Struthio camelus: one gene and its partner. Each later gene encodes a partner of the first gene's protein in a complex. Links are inferred from orthologs where the notes say so. Each region holds a gene or a part of one and is shown on either strand. Other genes may lie near its edges.

Evidence for each region. Proteins that work in one complex are often made in the same cells at the same time.
Region 2: the proteins of KCNMA1 (region 1) and KCNMB4 are in contact, whole or in part, in a cryo-EM structure (PDB 6V22), measured with the Homo sapiens proteins. The link is inferred for Struthio camelus from reciprocal best matches to the Homo sapiens genes KCNMA1 and KCNMB4. Residues at the interface, in NP_001154824.1 of Homo sapiens: Phe98, Phe99, Leu102, Phe103, Leu106, Leu107, Arg109, Thr110, Tyr113, Leu114, Thr116, Val117, Asp238, Leu240, Trp241, Leu244, Pro327, Trp328, Asn330, Gln332, Leu367; in NP_055320.4 of Homo sapiens: Thr11, Glu12, Ala13, Glu14, Lys16, Ser17, Leu20, Leu24, Ile34, Phe35, Cys38, Trp39, His105, Thr164, His165, Val183, Leu186, Ile187, Leu190, Thr191, Ala194, Leu197, Ala198, Lys200, Ala201, Met204.

The regions. Positions count from the first base shown.
Region 1 is NC_090948.1:27,734,313-27,744,097, reverse strand, and holds the start of KCNMA1 (calcium-activated potassium channel subunit alpha-1), read left to right. Parts: upstream 1-5,544; 5' UTR 5,545-5,720; coding exon 5,721-6,017; intron 6,018-9,785. UniProt on the Homo sapiens protein: Potassium channel activated by both membrane depolarization or increase in cytosolic Ca(2+) that mediates export of K(+). It is also activated by the concentration of cytosolic Mg(2+).
Region 2 is NC_090942.1:41,116,077-41,126,533, reverse strand, and holds the start of KCNMB4 (calcium-activated potassium channel subunit beta-4), read right to left. Parts: upstream 4,269-10,457; 5' UTR 4,215-4,268; coding exon 3,876-4,214; intron 1-3,875. UniProt on the Homo sapiens protein: Regulatory subunit of the calcium activated potassium KCNMA1 (maxiK) channel. Modulates the calcium sensitivity and gating kinetics of KCNMA1, thereby contributing to KCNMA1 channel diversity.

The DNA of each region.
Region 1 (9,785 bases):
TAAATGTGTGGATTGATATTTATTAAATGCACTTGCAGACCTCAGATGGTACAGTATGGCCAAATTAATATTGCTGCTGAAGCCATCATTTCTGACCTCACCTTTTCCAGATGCTAGCTGTGTCTTAATCTTCCATTAATGCCTAAACCATATTCATTTTCCAGTAAGTAGGCCTAGTAGTCCTATAGGCAACAAATGTCATACCTAACAAATACTGCATGGTTCAGGCCACTTGGTAAAAAGAAACGGGGACAAGAATACTGTTTATGTCTTCTCATAGGACATAACCAGTAAAAAAAATACATAAGGATAACCAGGAACCCCCTTATGAAGAAAAAAGTTCCAAGAAAAACACTCTATGTCTGCAAATACCAGTTGATACTCACTTGCTGCTCATACTGTATGGATTAATATGTATGAGGCAATTGTTTTATATTTAGCTGGATTGAGTGCAAGGGTTCCAGCATTCTGGAGATGATCACTCTGAATGACTGGGTGATCCATTAAAGCATTCTGCTGACATATGTCTTTGTCCTGCCAACAGGAGGATTCTGCCAGGGTTAAGTGCCAAAATAGATTTCAATACTAAAGTTTTAACTAATTCAAGGAAATTGTTATGTAATCTTGCTGCCAAGAATAGTGCTCATGTATACTGTTACAGAGATGTGATGAAACTGATTTTATTTGTATTTGCAAAGTGCTTTGATAAAAAGTGTTATAGACTCTAGTTTATTATCATGCTAAATATGTCCTTCAGCCTTTGAACATGGATTGGATATATGCAAAATATGGTAAACAAGTTTTTCATTTAATATGAACTGAAGTAGTTTGACTAAATTCTCTGGAAGAAACAAAAGCTACAGACAATTATTTGTTATATGCAAATATATATATATAGATATAGATATAGATATATAGTTATATACAGACATGATAATTTTATATACACTCTACTATCACCCCTTGCATAACTGAGTATTTCCACTATAGTGTCTTTAGGATAAGGACAGCAGATCCAGCCTTATGTGTGTTTTACATCAGCAAGGCATCTTCATCAGTGTCTCACAGAGCAAACATTTTGCATTCAGAAAAAAAATCTCTCAGACTTCTTTAAAGACAAATTTTTGTTCCTATAGCTGTCTAGTCACTGGAAATGTGTTATTTTTTGCCCTTCTCGCAGTACAAACTAGGAAAGGTAAGCATGGAGGAAAGAAATAGCATTAAAAGCCAGGCTCAGATTTAATTGTGCAAGATGTGATAATATGAAAGTCTAGTTCATTTTGTGCCCGCATCATTTAAAGTCAAGACCAAATGCCCCACTGACCTCAGTAGATCTAGCCAATTAACTAGTAAATAACTTTTATTATTATTTAATCGTACTTCTGTGTATAAGGTCTTTCTCTGCCACAGCTACTTAAATTCTCTAAAAGCCAATAGCATGTCCCATTGTGACAACAAAAACGTAAAGAGGGAGAGTGTTGGTTACAAATAGTAATTATTTATGATGGTTAAACTATCACATAGGATAACAAAAGCGCATTCTATATGGGATTATTCAGGCAGCAACCAGAAGTCTGGTGTTGGAGAGAATAAATACATACCTATTGTTGGAATGTTGACATTTTTCCTTGGAAAAGTATTTGTCTTTAAGCCCTACCTTAAGTTGCTTGTTCAACATTTATTCTTTACCGTTATCAAATGGGAAGGTTTTAAATACAACCATTAAACTAACAAGTTGTGGCAGCCAAGTTTATGGTATATTTGAGTCTTACAGATACTTTCAGCATATGTTTACTTCCCTCAAGATAATAACATGCAGTGATTTTCCATCATTTCCCCAAACTCAGTTAGACCAGATGTCTATTGGTAAAACTGGGATGTTCCACATTTTTTCTCTCACATTTCATTTTTTAAGGAAAAACTACTATTTGCATAATGTAATTAATGCTTAGGAAATATATATCTTACACTGTTGCTCCATTCATGGGATTTTTCTAAAGCATCAGGCCAAATTAATCCTTGGTACAATATTGTGTTGGCACAATTAGTTTGGACTCCTTAATTTAATTGAAAAATGTATTCTTCTAAGGAGTTTCTCTGTCCACTCCACTTTAGCACAGAGTTCAGGGACAGTGGGAAATCCTTATAGTTTTAGCCATTATTATCTCCTTTCTTTATATAGTATATGGTTTCTTTCTTTTAATCATTGTTTTCTTCCTGGAATATGAAGAAGTTTTTCCTTGTGTAAGTAAAATAAAACCACCCTGGTTTACACTTGACTCATACAGGTACAGTTATGCAACCGTTCTTTAGCTTTTCTGGTTTTATTGCACTTAATTAAAAAGAAATGCTATTGATGCTGAGTAGTTTTACAGCTAAATTATACCTGATTAAATACAATAGTTCATTCTCCCCTACTTGCACTTTCAGTAACTAAAAGCAAGATTGTCCTGCGTGCTGGAGTGGAGGGTTTTTTTTAATTGCCAAGGTCCAGGTTTGATGAATATTTTAAATACTTTCTGTCTGTGACACTGTACACAGAATATCCACAAGAGGGAACTGTTTTACATAAAGAGGAGTTATTTCCTTGCTGTTAAAATACTGCTTTCTGGAACCAAACCATCCAGCTTTATGTCAGGCTGGCATGATTGCAAATCACCACGCTATGTTATTTGGTACCAACAGGAAAAATGCAGGTAAAAACATTGTTCATTATGTTTTGTAAATATTATTCAGCTAAATAAGTTCATTTTGAGCTTTTGTGTTGAAATATTAAATAGAACAACTAATCTTTGTTTTTTGTGTTTACTCGGAATATATTGCTCTGGGAAATGTAGCTGGAACACCTTGTTGCTCCGAAAGCTGCATGGTAGCTGCATGAAAGCTGCATGAAAGCTGCATGCTGTGCATCGCTATGCACCTGCCTTTGCCTCACTTCGGTTGTTTGCTGATGGATAAAAGGATCCTCACGTAGATGCAACACCTGCCTGAGGGGTGCTCCCCCAACCCCAGCCCCGAAACCAACAGCGACCACGGGGCAGTGCCAGGCTGGTGGCCCCGTGTGTTGCCCAGGCAGGGGTCTTGCCCAGCCACAGGCTGTCCCCAGGTGGTGGCCCGCTGCAGGGAGGCTAGGAGCTGTGGCACCATGGGCTGGCGCTTCAGGTGGCACCTCTCACAGGCAGCTTCGTTTCAGCCTGACTCGTTTTCTGCATCTAGAAATCCTCCACTTAATTCCCCTCTTGCGGTAGCCTCCTGGGAACTGGTTCATTCGGGGCATTGTGTAACGGACTATCAGCTTTCCTCTGGGATACAGTAACGTCGTGTTTTCTCACTTGAGAATACCTCTACCCTATTGTCTGATGCTGTCTCTCCTCAGAGGCCTCTGCTAATCGGTTCTTGAAAAGGAAGCCCTCTCCTGACGGGCTAGACTGGAGGGAGACACCAGGACAAACTCACAAAGTTAGACAAATGTCATTGCACAAGAGCTGGAGGTGAGAGGGTTAGGGAGTCCTGTAAAAACCTTAGAGGACTCATAAAATCTCATTTCCAACTCTCAAGTGGAAAACCAAAAATAAACAAACCCAGGACTGATGCAGAAGCATGAAGTAGTGTTCCTAAAGGTTAAGAAATTGCTCTTTCATAATGGTGGCTCTGTGAATGAGTAGTGACTAGATCAGATGGGGAAGTGTAATGCACACACAGGCTGTGGTATTTTACCCTTGGAAAGATGACAAGAGGATCCACATAATAGCCTGTGCAGACAACAGGGTTAGCAGAGCATGTGCCAAATCAAGATTAATGTGTGCGTGTACATATGTATGTATGTATATTCTCTGTTTCAACCGGAATCTAGAAAAAGCAGGAGATGACTATTCAGATTTTTTTGCTGGATTTCCCCCCACCTTCGGCGTATCGTTTTTGAAAAAAAGCAGGAAACAACTATGCAGATTTTCTCACTGGATCCCCCCCTCCCCCCCGCCCCGGGCGTGTCATTTAAAATTGCTATTTATATTTCCAAGGGTCAGTTTCGGGAACGCGCTGGGGATGCTCAACAATTTACAGCGTGTTGGTGGGGCATTTGCAGTATTTCCCCTTGTCAGCTTGAAGCAGGCAACTCTCGGCGGACGGAGGCACGCCATGGCGCCCCGATATTTATTTCACTCTCCCTCGCCGCGCTTCAAACCCAGCAACCCCCTCCGCATCCCCGGCACCTGCTGCTGCAACTCAACCGCCCGCGGCGAGAGCCGAGCGCCCGCCCCGCCCCGAGCCCGGGCGCCCCGAGCGGTCCCCGGCCCGGCGGAGCCGCCGGCCATGTCGCGCCGTGCGCCCTGTGCCGGCGAGGGCGGCGGGGGCCACACACCCGCTAACGGCTGTAACCGCCGGCGCGGGGGGTGGGGGGGGGCGCCGCGCCCCGTGACAGGCGCCGTGCGTTAGCCGCTGCGTCATGACATCCGCCAAACCAGCCCCTCGCGCGGCCGCGCCAGGGGGCCGCGCCCGCCCCCGCCCAGCGCGGCTGCGGAGACCGGTGCGCCGCGGCGGCGGCGGCAGCGATGGGGCCGTCTGCCCACCGGCGACTTGTTGGACTGGCAGCTCGGCGCCGCAGCCCGGCCCCGCCTCGCCGCTACCTGTGAAGCGCCCGGGCCCCTCGCCGCCCTCCGCCCGCTGGCCCGCGCGCCCGCTGGCCGGTGCCTCGGCGGCCCGCAGAGCGGGGCCCCGCGGCCGCGGGGCGGGAGCGCGGCGCCGCCGCTCGGCTGTCGGCATGGGGGGCCGGGAGCCCGCCTGAGGCGGCGCGGCCCCGGCGGCAGCGCGGCGTCCCGCGCCGCCCCGGCCCCTCCGCGCGGGGGCCCCCGGCCCCCGGGAGCGGGGCCGTCGCCGGCGCGTCCCCCCGACGGCAGATAGGGGCGGGGAGCCGGTGGCCGCGGTGCCTCTGCGCGCGTAGGAGCAACAGCCCGGAGAGAGAGCCGCGGCCCGGAGCGAGCGCCCGGAGGATGCGGGAGGCGGCGGCAGCACGCGCACGGATGGGCCGGCGGAGGATGAATTAGGAGCCGCAGGAGGCTGCTGCCAGCGCCGAGGGGGGGAAGAGGAGAGGAAGGGGCTGGACTTGGAAGAGGAGGAGGAGGAGGAGGAGGAGGGCGCGCGGGGGGGACCGAGTGTCGCTAATAACAAGTTAAAGACTAATAACAATAATAACAGACCACCTCCAGGAAGATCCGCGGCGGAGGCTGAGAGATCCCCGCTGAGGCCAGCGGGGTTGCAGCGCTGGGTATCTTAGAGAGAAGCTCCGAGGCATCGGCTTGTGGTGGTGGTGCTGGATGATTTTTTCTGGGGGGTGGGCGGGGTGGGCGCTGTGTATGCGGGAGGAGGAAGGGGTGGGAATTTGAGGAGGAGACTACCCTCTGATTATTATTTTTATTTTTAATTTTAAATCGTTATTATTTTCGCCGTGCAAGGAGGACGCTCGGAATTCACCGGCTTGTCGGCTCCCGAGAGGGACCCGGGGATTGTGCCGTCGCCTCTTCCCCCCCCCCCCCCCCTTTGGTTGGTTTGCTTGTTTGCTTGTTTTGATTTGGGCTTTTTTTCATTATTATTATTATTTTCCCTTTTCCGCTGAGCGGCGGCGGCGGCGGCAGCAGCAATATGGCTGGTGATGGGTTTTTTGGGGGGCGCTGGCGGCGGGAGGAGCTCTCGGAAGCCCCTGCGCGCCCGGCTCGCTGTTAGCTATGGCAAATGGCAGCGGCGGCGGCGGCGGCGGCGGCGGCTTTAGAATGAGTAACAATATCAACGCGAACAATCTCAACACAGACTCGGCCTCTTCCCCCGTCAATGTGCCCAAGATGGATGCGCTCATCATCCCGGTGACCATGGAGGTGCCCTGCGATAGCCGCGGACAGCGCATGTGGTGGGCTTTCCTTGCCTCGTCCATGGTCACTTTCTTTGGGGGACTGTTTATCATCCTGCTGTGGAGGACCCTCAAGTACCTGTGGACTGTCTGCTGCCACTGCGGGGTCAAAAACAAGGTAACCTCCCGCCCCCGCCCCATCCCCTTCGGGTGCAGCGGTGGCTCAGTGCGGTGGCAAGGGGGTGCCCAGCCACCTAGGTCAGGGCACCTTGAAGAGGTGGCACTGGAGGAGATGCAGGGTGGCTGTTGCGTGGTGGCTGTGTGCTGGCTTTCAGGTGGTCTCGGCACTGTGCTGGGGGCAGCATGGCAGGAGGGGTGCCGGGGCCCTCCGAGTGCCCCCCGCCTCCCGTTCTGCCATCACCTCGCTCAGAAGCTCTTCAGTGTCGGGGGCCAGGAAAGTTGTGCTTGCTCTCCGCCCGCCAGCTCCGCGAGGTGCATGCTGACACGCTGGGACAGTGCGGTTCAGAAGTTGCTACGCACCCCCAGGAGACCATGTATGATGGGGAAGAGTATTGGGAAGGGTGTTTATTTGCTGGACAAAGCTGTCAGTTCTCCTAGGAAATGACAAACTTTGGCAAAATCAGAGAAGTAAACTTCTCAACTGAGTAAATCTTTTAAAAGCTAGTTTCGCTCCCTTAGACTTGCATTTGCTGAATTTGTAAGTAACATACTAGATCAATGTTCTTCTAAGTGCAAAATCTTTGCGATAACTTCTGTGCCCCTTAGTTTTTTGCATATTACCTCTGGAAGGAAGCATAATACATGAAGCAAGGTAGGCTCCTGGTTTGAAAGGTCTCCTTCAAACCAAAGCTAAGAACTTGGTCAGGTCCAGACTCTTATTTCTGCTCAAGACGAATGGGATAGAAAGTGTTAAGACGCTGTATTTGAGAAAGTGGGTTTAGACAGGCAATTTTAAGACCCCAAAATAGACCAGCAGCTGGAGTTTCTCCCCTTCCCTTTTCGCATTTTTTGGATTACAAATGGAATAATATCTGCTTCAGTTATTCCTGGCACACAGACGCCCGCAAAAACACACACACCTTTTAATATATGGTTGCTAGGTTGCTGGCTTGCTTTGACGTACAGTGAGCTGTCTTCCCCTTTCTCCTATCCCCTCCCCCTAAACACACTTGACATAGCATAACCCAGCTGTACAAAGGAACTAACACTTACGGGAAACCAGAAAAAAGTTACAGAGTTTGAGAAGTTTGGGTACTTTTCTTTCCTTGTGTTAGCTAAGTATCAAATTAGGATTACCTGTATGTTACACAAGAACCTATCTGTTAAAATTGGAAGCAGAACAGTTGTAAAAAACTTGTCATATCTGTGGAAGAAATGATTGTTAGCAATACAGAATAAATAGAAACTTTCAACTCAACTTTTAAGTTTCAGGAAACATACTAGGCAATATCTCTTCTGTAGAGACATTATTTATTTCATTCAAAACCAAAACCAAATCTGAACTTTGTCTCAGAGACATATTAGCTAGCTATGATGGTAAAGCTAAAAAAGAATTTGTGATAGTAAATAAGTTTTGTAAAATACTGTTTCCTATCATAGTAAAAGGAAATCCGTAAGAAAGGAAGGGGTAGCTATGATTTGTCTTCAGTTTCTTCTGTGTATATTTAGCATTTTCCTCTCCTTGTGATGAGACAAATCTGCAAGGACTATAAGAGGTCCCAAAGAAGAAGGAAATCCTAGAGGCTATCACCTGCTACTTTGCTTGAGAGAATAAAAATTGGAGTTAGCTGCTTCTGCACAGACTTCCTATGCATAGTGTCTTCATGGATATCTGCAGTCTGATAGTCCATTCATGAGAAATAGTCAGTAAAGCAGATCATCCATCTCTTAAACAGTATAGAAAGGCATATCCAAGTTGTCTTTAAAACATCTCAGACAGGCTAAATGTATCAGTTAGCTAAATAACAGCTGTCATCAAGGGGTCCCAGCACTTGCAGTTTGAATGATTTGACAGAGTACAGTTATGTCAGACCGTAAGATTTATTTCATGTTTGGTACCTAAAGTAGCTACATCCAGGAATATCATTCCCAGGGGCAGGAGAATGGAGGACTCTGCAGGTAGGGGGAGATATATGTCACTTTTTAGATTGTCTATTGCACTGGTAAGGTTGTCAAGCCTTTAGTGAAGAGTAACTTCCAAGGCCTGATTCTTTCACACTAAAATGGGGAATCAGGGCGAGTTGTGTATGTGTAATGAGTAAGTAGTTTTTGCAGAACACTTTTCTAATAGTTAGGGTTTACAGGCTAACTGAAGTAAAAACTGGTAATGCCTTAAACTTTGCTATTACCAAACACATCCTTTGTGCTGCTTGACAACTTGGGAAGGGTTGCCAAGGCTGCAGGTGAAAAATGTGAACGAGCAGTTGTGCTATGTCTACTATATTGGAGCTCGCAGCAAAAGTAACTTTACAATAAGTAGTTCCTCCTGCTATGGAACTGAAGAAGCTTTTTGCATGTTAGGACCTTTTCTTCCCTTTCTCCCGCTCCACAGGTTGTATTAGTGCTGGGTAATAGTGCTGTAGTGCTGTCATAGTGCTCTCATCATCTGCTTAAAGAGTGCTCCCAGCGAGTGAGCTAAAAGAACTCTCTCATGTCTGCTTTCTGTGGTTTCTTACTAAATAATTTGCATGTATACTAAGAGTCACAGGGCACAGGGTTACTGTTCACAGCCGTGTTCATATATGTTATTACAATGAGCGGAAAAAAAAATATTTCATTTTTTCCCTGCTATATTCTTAGCAGAAAACTGTGTTCCTCAGGCTAGTAGGTGATTGTCAACTTTATTTTATGGATGTAGCCCTTTTAATGGCTGCACAGAAGGATTCAGAATGCTTTTTTCTCTTTAACTTACTGAGTTTAAGGTTGGTTTTTGAATTTTTAAAACCTGTTATGAACACTCTGTTTAACACTTTGTGGTATGAAATTCCATTATAGTATTTCGTTTTTCTTGGAGATGTGTACTGAAAGTCAAAAGAGTATGAAAACTTCTGATAACAGAATGATAACATTGCTTCTTAAAATTCCAGATCCAATTTATGCCATTGTATACTAATAGCACATTAATATTAATCATGGACAAAAAAAAATTGCTGAAGTTACAGGATGTTTTATGCTCCATGCTTGCTTTGTGAGATGGTGTTTTTTAAAATCTGCCAGAAAGAAAAATGTAAAATTTGACCTATGTCAGTGTTTCATGTAATATGAGGGTGTTTACAATTGAAGCTTGTATTTTTTCTTTATCTAATGTGGTATATACTTTAAGATTTGATTTTTGCAAAATTAACTACAGTCATTTTGTAGAGACTTAAAAATGCTCTTTGTTTCTCAGTGTTTGCATCTGCATTTTAAGAAATGCTTAGGTTTTGTTAAAGAAATTGTCTTCAGTTTGCTTCCCCCCCCCCAACTCATTCCTAACTTTATATATTAAAAGTATAAAGTGAGATTGATATTAGATGGGCTAGACGCTGACACCATTAGTTGCTGTTGTTTATGGGAATAACAGAAAAAGAAAATAAATATGTAACATTAAGTACAGTTACCCCAGTGGCTAAATACATATTACAAAATCTGTAATTCTTTTGATTATATGGATCTGCTACTCCATTTTCCATGTTCCTGAAGGGCATTTTCTACAGACGTTACGTAATACTATGTTTTGGCTTTGAATAAGCTCTTAAACAAGGAAAAGGTGTAGTGGAATGAGAAAGCACAAGTTTGGAGCACAACAGGCTCCTGAAGCCAGCCAGGTTCAGAACGCAGTGAAACTTACACACCCCTTTGAAGAGTGGACCCTGTGTCACTGCTCCTTGGTTCCCCAGAGACCAGAACTCATTTTTCACCTTATACCGTCAAGAGTCCAGCAGGT
Region 2 (10,457 bases), on another chromosome or scaffold:
CGGACGCTTCACTAGTCACCGGACCTCCCTTCCCAAACTACTGGTGATCGTGGCATAATTTGGTCTTAAATTTACTCTGTCACAGCTCATCTTTGAGAGGCTCAAAAATTAAAAAACAATTCCATTCCAAGCGCACAGTAGAGAGAGGTCATGGAGGAATCAGCAATTTGGTGTGGCATCTGAAAAATGGGTAACGTGACATGGGACCGCGAGCTGACGCAGCATACAGGAACAAGCGCTTGCTAGCTGCTCTGCAGCCCGCCCTCTGCCCTCTGTGCAGCAGGATTTCTGGAGGGCAGGGAGAAAAGCCACAAAAAATGGTTGCCATCATGTAATTAGGCATTTAAGGACACAAACAGGGCTGAATGAATTAGATTTGCAGAGGCCATTTTTTTAAACTCTGGAATTTCCTGTTGAAACATTCGATCTGCACAACCTTCACGCCCACGGCGGGACCCTTCCGGCCCCGTATCACAGCACACGATCGCTGTGCACTTCCACGTCGTCCCGCCCCGGGCTTGGGCTGGGGACGTGCCTTCCCTCCACCCCAACTGGGGCCCCGGGTTCAGCTCATCCATTCGAAACCAACCCCGCTTTGGAGGACTGCGCACGCTGGCAGCATAATTAGTGAGCTGGTCCAAGGGCTCCTGAGCTGCTCCGTCTGCCCGTTCGACGGCCGGGACGCGACTTCACCTCTTTCCTCTGCTATTCCCCTGCCAGCCCCGGGGCTGCAAAGAAGTGAGTCGCACCACACACGTGGTGACGTCCGACGTAACTACACTTCTACAACTACACTTTTACGTTCATGTAGAAGTTTTCCCAGCTAAGTCTTGGGCAAGTTTTTCTGGCACTATGCTCAACTTCAAGCACAGAAAGGGAAAAGCCTAAAAGCAAGAAGGCAGATATTATTAGCAGCTGATACATGCCACAGTAATGTTACTCAACTAAACCTATATTCCAGCCCCCTGTGCTGTGTTTGTTATCAACTCACTGCGTGGCCAGGCGAGCCTGACAAATTGACTTTGGAATTAATCCCCCTTAAACCTTATCTCAGAGATTACTATTGCTATCAAAGCAGCTGAAGAAAGGCTACCATCGCTCTATTTACTGAAATTTCTTCCTCGGAGACAACAACGAAAAGCAAAAAGAAATCCACATATCGCACAGACCGTACACAAATGTAATTGTGCACGGTGCTTCGTACTTACTTTTCTGGATTAATTCTGCCCCAGCTATATAATCTTTTAAGAGCTAAAATGAATCCAGGGCTGTACAATGATGTGATTATCTTAGGAAGGAACAGAAGAAAAAAAAAAAGCGTCCTACAGATAGACCTCAGTAGCGTAGACCGATCCGTAGCTGCAGATACCTTCATACACAAGCCCACTCTGCTACAGAGAGCAGACTGTTTTCAGTCCGACACACTGGGGATCCTCTTGGTGGAGTGAAGCTGCCAACCAATTTAGTATGGTTGTATGGTGTAACGAGCCCAAAACACGCGTTCCTCACACTGCTGATTTACCAGGACGAATAGCCACCCCGTAAAGCTGTTATACAGAACGTACGATTCCAAGACCGTTCAAAAACAAATCGCTCTTTTTCTCCCCCTTCGAGTTAGCTGGAATTGGCTAGTGCGCAGTATGCCGAATTACGTTAATACAAGCAGGTGGGCTATGAGGAGAGGATAGAAACAGGAGGGTTAACAAGGCTCCTTAAGTATTCATTCACAAATCCGTCCATACTGGCTCCAGATAATGACATCCACCAGATTCCTAATCTGTTGCTATAATTCATCTATTTCAGTGTAAAATCCAGAAAGCTCTTAAAGGCAGTAAGACTTTAGGACAAAAATAAAAAGAAGAATATAACTGCTCAGCTACACAGACGTTAAACTAGGAAGAAAAAAAACCCTACGCTAAAGCAACAGCTATACATCACTTCCTCTAAAAGGATATGTTTTCCCAATGAGAACAAAATGACTTTTAGTTTTATTTTGCATTGGTTTTGCATAAAAGCTCCTTAAGGTAAGGAAAATATGTGGAGCACATTTCTTTCTATGTTCTTTTCCACTTAGTTTAATTCAGTTAGTACCACAGAATGTAGTTACATCAAAAAATAGGTCCTTTCTACTCAGTCTCATCTAGAAAACTAGATTCAGTCATCAGCAATCAATATCCTACAGTAAACAACCCACATTTAAAGGTGCGATACTCGAGCTAGAGATAAATGGATTATATTTGTAAAAGCATGCAAGCACAACACGCTGCCAACGTGCAGACCTGTGTTGTTTGTTTATTAGCTGTTAAATAAATACCGGTTTCTGAACTACACAGACAGGCATCCCTCCCGAAGCGCTCAGTGCCTGCCAGCAAAATTCAAGCAGGTGCAACCCTAGTCTGCCCTGGCGCCAGCCTTCCCGGGAGCCAGGAGAAGACAGGACTAAAAAGTTCAAAAAAAAAAAAAAACAGAAAAAAAAAAATATCCCTCAAACTCCTTAGAGAGATCACTTGGCAGATGCTACAGTCGGAGCCCCAGTATGAAAGCCTCTGCTGAAACTGCGGATACTGGAAGGGCTGATGAGCCTGGGCTTGCTGGCGATGTGGTTCATGCCCGCAGCAGAGAGCCGAAATGCTGTGGGCCGGACGCGCTCAGGATGGCCTGGCCGGGGTGCCAGGGCGTCTTCTCCCCAAGTCAAAAGGGCAGCTTTTTCCCTGCAGGTCACTGACTGCCCTCCCGAACACGGCGGCAGCACCTGAGGGCCAAGCGCCCGCTTCGCCCAGCTCCCTCGCAGGCCGACGTTGCACCCGCTTCGCTGTCGGGCACGGTCCAGCCCAGCCCCCTCGACGCTTGGCTCCTCTGAGCAGTCCCAGCGCTTTCACGCAAATTGTGCCAGGTTTTATCACTCTGCTTTCCTCTCTGCTGATTTTTGCCCCGACAACCCTTGCATGCCAACGAGCCTCAAGGGGAAAAAAAGCAACACCCCAAACCCTAAGGTTACAACTTCACCTGTCTTCCAAGAGACAGATCCAAACTGGTACCAACACAGCTGCGGCGACGTTCTTTTCCTCTACCTTATGTCTGGGTGAGGTGAGGAAAAAAGAAGGGGTGAGACTGAAACCTCAACTTGTTTCATTCGACTGCTGCCTCCAATATGGGGGACCAGCCAGGAAGACATACCACCTCCAAAGGCTGCACAACCCCCCCGAAAGCACCAGGCTGCTCCTGGACTTCTGCATGCGGAGGACCCCTGTCCTGCGCTCAGCATGACCTGTCGCATCGCATCGACGTTTCTATCAACGCTCCCAAACTCTTCTCCAACATGCTCCCAATCTTGGGGGTTTTGGCGGGGGGTGGGGGGAGGGAGGATCCTGCTCCTTTTTTTGTTCTTCAGAAAACGACTTAACCAAATCTCCTCCGCTCAGTTAGAGTGCCAGAAAGATGACGTTTACTCAGCATTAAAAGAAAAAGGAGAACAGAAAATTAAATAACTCCCACTTAGGGGAAAAAAGAAAAAGTACGCTGTCATCATACTACCCAGCTTTACTAGGAGATGCAACTTCAGACTTAAAGGCACTTTTGCCCAGACTGTTCTCACGCGGGCAACGCAGAAATTTAGGAAAGAAAGAACGGGGGGAAAAAACTAGCGCTGAGGAAACTTTTGCTTAAACGCCCCCCCCCCCACACACACACACCGCGGACCCGAGCGCACAACCACGAGCGGCGGCTGCCATCCCGTTTGCTTAAACGAGGATTTTCCGCGTGTTTTTTATTCTTGGGGGGGGGGGGGGGGGAAGCAGGCTGCTGCGGGAAGCGCCGCGCCCGAGCCATCCGTGCCCCGGGCGGGTTTTCCCCAGGGGCGCGGGCGCGGGGCTCACCTTGGGGTTGGTGCGGAGCTGCCGCTCGTCCTCGTGGAGCAGGGCGGGGGCGGCGGAGCGCGAGGTGCGCACCAGCACCTGGAGGCAGGGGTAGCGGGCCGTGCCGCGGCAGGCGGCGCCGCACGAGAAGGTGCAGGCGAAGCGCTCGCCCAGCTGCCGCACCGCCAGCACCGTGCAGTTGGCGGCGCCGCCGGCGCGCCGCTCCTGCAGCGCCGGGCGCAGCCAGCAGAAACCCAACACCAGCAGCGACAGGAGGCCGGCGGCGATGAGCAGGAAGCCCAGCCGCATGCTCTTGTCCTCCGCCTCCGTGTACTCGTAGGCCGGGCGGCTCCGCGCCATGGCCGGGCTGTGCCGCTGCTGCCGCCTGGCCGCCGCCGCCGCCCCGCCGCTGGGGCCGCCTGGCAGCCAGCCGCTGCCATGAGGTAAGCTCCTTACCGCTCCCCGCCCTCCTTCCCTCCCGCCCTCCCCATTGCTAGGAGACCCGCGCGGGGTGCCAGCCGGCACGCGCAAAAAAAAAAAAAAAAAAAAAAAAAAAAAAGGGGGGTGGAAATGTAATTTATTTATTTATTTATTTATTTTACGGCTGACCTAATTGAGGCGGAAGGGACAGCTTGCAGCGGGATTATCGAGCCCGGGAGATTTGCTGCTGGGATGGCTATTCCGGATTAATGCCATGCGATGGGGGAGGACCGGGCGGGGAGAGGGGGGAGCAGCGCACAGCCTGGCCTGCCCGGCGGCTTTCCCAGGTGGGGAAGCCGCCGCCGCCGCCGCCGCCGCGCTGGGGCTTTTCCTTGGCACGGGAGAGGCGTCGCGGGCCGCCGGCGCCCGCTGCTCCCCGGGCTCGCCCTGCCTTCCCGGGCCCCGGCCCCAGCCCCGGGCCGACCCGCCGGGCACCGCTGAAGTTGCGGTGAAGCAAGTGGCTCCGGCACCCGGGGAAACACCCCGAGGCAGACCCGGGCTGGGCAGAGGCAAACAGCGCTGAGCAGTATAACGTTGTGCCTAAAGCCAAGTCATGAAAACATGTTACCCTACCCGCTTCTCCTCGCGGGGGCCGGGCCCCTGCTCTCCGGTGCCATTTCGTAATTAGCGCAGCGGTCTGCGAAAGTCTGCAAAGCCTCTCAGAGAGGCTAAGTCTACCTGTGGCATAAGAGTCACAATTACAGAAATGCATTATCTGGAAGTGAGGAAGCAGCTGCTGTTTGCATCGTACCGGGGCTGGCCTGACGTTACCCTACCTCAACAAGACTTTCAGGTGACTCAGCAGGCTCCGATGAGAGTGGGTACTCTGGTCTGTCCGCTCCGAGCCCCAAAGCTGGCATTTGCAGAGTACAGGCAGACCCAGCCTCTGACTCGTACATCATCATTTAAAGGTAAGCAAGATGATAACTGTCCAAACGTTTTGCCCAGGAATTGCTTTTAACAGCAAGATACTGACCTTTAAAAGGTAGCCCTAAAAGATGCCCTCTTCAAAACAGGTCTGCAGAAAGGCGATAGAGCCAAGAAAATACACCCAGCTCACAAACACACTTCTGCTATTACTAAGCATTACCCACCCCAGCAGCTGCAGTAGAACAAGCTCTCCAGCCCTGAAGTGCAGGAGCTCGTAGTTACGTTTTTATTCTGTAGTCTTTATCATAGGTAATTACGTAGAACAAAATGTGGCAATTTGAGATGACAGCTGAGCCAGATGAAACAGCAGACAAGATGGTACAGAAATAATAGAAAAATAAATATGGGAAATCGTACTTTCCTCCAGCCAGGTTTTTCGCTCGCTTCTCCACTGCAGGAGTGAAGCGGAGTGCAATATCAACAACGTTGAGCCCTCGGTTCCTCAAATTGAATATTTAGCAGCATTTGGCAAGAAGGCTTTTAAGAATCCACTCTGTGATAGGAATATAAATGGTTGCATTTGTGCTTGGCTGCACTAATGTACCACCACTCTGTCCTCAGCTTATAGTATAGTAGTCATTTCTAATACTAAAGGGTTTCAGAAAACGTGCTCCAGCTGTAAGCTTGGGAAACGTTTGTATATCGCCATTTTTACCTGTGATAAGTTTTTGTACTAGAAACAGAACTCATCTTGGTTAGTCCTTGGCTCTGTTCATGCATTCCCCTTAGTAATGCTTTGCTCCTAGCACTTTTGGTGATGGTAGTCTTTGACGGTGGACCTGTCTATTCTGTTTTCGTAATGTGAAAACACTAATTTTGATCAGGTAGGTTGGTTGCCTACCACCTGAACCCATCTTCCAAAAGGAAAGCTCCAGCCCTGTTTTTTCAATTGTCTTGCATTTTGTTTAGACCAACTGTGACTTGTCATCATTTTTATCTTTTGAACAGTTGGTGTTAAATCTCAATTCACTGGTTACCTAGCTGAATCATTTGTCATCCCCTGTATATAAAGTACTGTCAGCTGAAACTAAGGCAACAGCTCACTGGGTGTACGTTAACACAGTAACCTTGAGAGTTAGTCTTCCTGGTTGTTATCAGAAATCCACATCTGTGATCTGAGCTGGTGAGGCTATATTTTAACTGGAAACAGACGTTTACCAGGCAACCTCATTGTTTTCAAACTTCTGGACAAATACTAAGTCAGGACTGAAAGTATTTGGATCGGTCAGAAGTGGTAAGTGATTGTTAGTAGCTGGTTTGTAAGAGTAAAGCTGGGTACCTAAAGGCCTGGTTGCAAAGATTTTAGCTCTGCTATCATCTGCTGAAGGCAAGGAGTCAGCACATTGACTCTGAGACCCCAGGAACACGCGTTGCATCAGGAGCAGCCAGGGCCAAGAAAATCAGCGCAGAAGGTTAAGGTAGGCTGGAAAATCTCATTCCGCTGCCAACAATGAGGCACGACAGTTACAAAATCTGACTTCCGCAGGATTTATAGTACTTTCAGATTGTGGCTTATGTTATGAGCATTCTTTGGAAGCCAGTAAATTAATCCAAGCACACATCACACCATCATATTTGCCAGGGTGGGAAGAGCTGAATGTCTAATGTATCTGATAACTAACCTGAGGATCTGGACAGCTACACAAAACAATTCAGATTGATTACTTTCTGCCTTCTTTCAGATCTTTCCCTGCCCTGTGACCACGTGCAGGCTTACCTGTCGCTAGATGCGGGACGCCCATCCGCTGATCACTTAACTGAAGACCGCTTGCTTGTACGTTGCATGGTGAAGGTTCCTCCATCTTGGTTATGTGCACGTCCATATCTGTAGACTGCGTGGGACCTGGCGTACCTCTGTAAGCCTCCCTAGCTAAAAGCCTGGGCATCACTGACCTGCCCAGCGGGTAATACATATTAACAAGACTGTCTTGTCCAGCACAAACGAGGGACGAGACTGGTTCTCCGCAAAGATTTTTGTGTGAGAATTACTTTGCGTGAACAAATGCTGGTAACAGGCAGCAGACTGAAATGAGCTCTGTGAGCCCACGTGCCGTTTTTCCTGTGATAGTGGCCTAGCGATGGCCCTCCTAACACCTCTCAGCTGTCTGGCACCCTCTTCCATAAAAGTGCCAATAACAAACTGTAACATGCCTTTTTGCAACCAGTGCTGTGACGCCCAACAGGAAACACCTTGGACTTCAAAGGGAGGAAGGTCACACCTAGTTGACAGAAACACATGGGGGGGGGGGTACCCAACCCTCTATCCAGAAAAAGAGCTGTAGAGATAACTGAGGAGTATCTACAAAATTTCAGGTATGTTTGCCAGAAAGGACAAATTTGCTACCTTCTTTGCCCAAACTAAAAGCCACAAATATCTGAACATTTTTATAAAAATGTTAACTATCATTTGTCTTTGCATGACTTTTATCAGTTACTGTTCGAGTCACTACATATAAAGTGTTTCTGCAATACTAAATTAGCCTAAATTTCCTGAAGTTTTCATGACATCTTTTAAGTTGTTTTTGGGGGATATAAGTTTAGCGACCTAAAGCCTGCTGGGAATACAGTACTTAACAACAGTAGATTCAGTTGCATTTTACTTTGTCAACAAACCAGAATTTACACACTTCATCCCATATCTCCAAGGAAAAAATGGGGAATGCTTGTGCTCAGAAACCGAGGTATCACCCTTCCCTCATCTGCATCCACAAGAGCACCTCTGGGATGTCTTCCGTTTGCTCTTGATCAGGATGAATTTATAGGTGGTTGAAGGATGATGCAGATAATCATGACAATTGGCTAGTTTGCTGCTCTACTAAAGGTACAGGTCCTGCAGTACAGGATCTGTGTGTGTGTGTGTCTGTGTACACACCAGAGGTAGTTCAAAAAAAGTGATTCTTGCACAAAACTCTGGGCATCTTCAGCAGTAAAATGCTGACATACACCTATGTCTAGGGTTGGCATATTAATTCTGACAGGGGAGCATGTGAAATGTGGATGAAAATGCAAAGCCTAGGAAACTTGGGATCCAAGCTCAGTTAGCACTGCTAGTTCTGAAGTGGATTGAATCAGTAACATTGAAAACAATGGCTAAATGTATTCCAACTTTACTTTCAAAAAATAAGCTTTAACTGCAATAACCTGGTTTTAGAAGGTAAAATCAAATCTACTGAAGTAATTCAAACGGTGGTTTTAAAATAAGAAATCTAGCTGCATTTCCTCTAGTCTTTTAAATATAGCTGAAGCTTTCAGATTTGTGGAAAAAAAGACTATAGATTCTTATCAAAGGTAGGGAGAAACCCAAACCCCAGCTACACCATTTTAATTCTTGTGCTATACAACCAGTTAATTCACATTAACTGCTTGCCCCAGTCTGCACTCTTTACCAGCATTTGAATTTTACCAGTGCAGTTTTTCGGGAGGAGGAAATACTGAGAAACATGATGAATGGATATGGCATTTGAAAACAAGAGCACATTCAAGATTTCATTAAAAAAACTGATTGTCATATTTAGTATTTTAAATCAAAAGCAGTGTCTAGCTACATTATACTTAGCATCACAGCTGCGCGTTTAAAAACTCTTCTTGAGCGTGGCAGATAGCAATCACGTTTTCTTTCAGCTAACAACCTGCCATAAAAATACTTTCAGTTAGGAGTGAATTATAAACTAAATTTAAGTGCTTTTTACTTTAGGTGATAAATATCTTTAAAGCATTGTTATTTAGGAATTGAATACCCTTCTTCAACAGTCATTGCCACCTACATATCAATGCAATATCCAGCTGACTGCTGCAGAGACCTGTGCCTTTCGGTACTGCTTAGGTCATTCCAAAGATAGTTTCAAGTTACTCTTTTTGGTTAAATGGAACAGAGCCGAACAGCACACCGCAAGCATTCTCAAAAACAGTTTTTAAACTACAGTACAAATATTTTATATGTTATTTTGGGTAGGTTTTTTTTTTTCCCTGCAATCATAAATGTAAAAGTACAAAAAATATGGGTTGGGGGAGGGATTTTAAACCTGACATACAGCAAAATGATATAATTATACATCCTTGTACCAGATAGAAGTCAAGTCTGAATCAGTGGTGTGGGTCAGTCACGAATCCTAACATGCACCTGACACTTCAAGTAACTCAGGTCACAGTCACATGCGCGAGCAGTTTTAACCATGTGAATATCTTCAGGAGTCACTGGATTACTTGTGTATTCAATTAGATCAATCAAGCACAGGAAGGGACTCACGTGCTTAAGTATTTGTGGCGTCAGGTACCAAGGCAGAGATGATGAGTACTGAGTGGGGTTTTTGTGGTTTTGTTTTTTTGAAACCTCTTAGGTGCGTTGTCCTTACCTCCTCCCTGCTTGATTCCTAAACCTGTATCCAGTGGGTAAAAACCATTTTACACTGGAAATCCAGGCTAGTGGATGTCCAAAGAAATGCAAGCTGTTTACAAATATTTGAGTTATTTAAATAATATGCAATAATGAGACACAAATATGGGAATATTTGTGAAGCAGGCCAGAAACATGAATACTTCTAGCTGTTTTCAAGAACGCCAGCTTTACTATTAAGAACTTACCTTGCATGTTACATGTTACTGTAATTGAGAAAAAAAGCTTAAATAAAAATATTTTCAAAGTAGCTTTCTATTCTCTCCCATAATTTATAGTGACAGTGGAATGAAAAGACACAGAAAGAGCCTTAGACCTTAACTGTCAGTTTTAAAAATCGCTTGTGTGATTTAGTCACCGAAATGCAACATTTAAAGAGGGTTGAGGCTTTCTTCCTTTCAGCAGAAAAAAAAAAGCAGTATAGTTTTTATTTTTTAATTATTGTGATAATACCTGCTAAGATGTGTTTTCAATTATATACATTGTTTTATACTTAAAACTGTTTCTCCTGCTTCAGGAGTGCAAAGTGAAATGAAATTACCTATTTTAAAGTCTCCATATATGCTTCTTTAATCACAGGAACTAGGACAAGTGAGAGCCAGATCGTTCTCCACTTTGAAGGAACAAATCATCAGTTCCTTGCTAACAACGGAGAATTTTGTTAGGATTACAACTTAAGCATCTCAAATTTTTGAAGTATCATACACCTGAATGCAACTGTCATTAAAGTAACCTTTTGAAAGACTTAGATTCTCAATTTTAGCTTAATTATTTTTAGAGGTGTCATAAGGTATTTAATA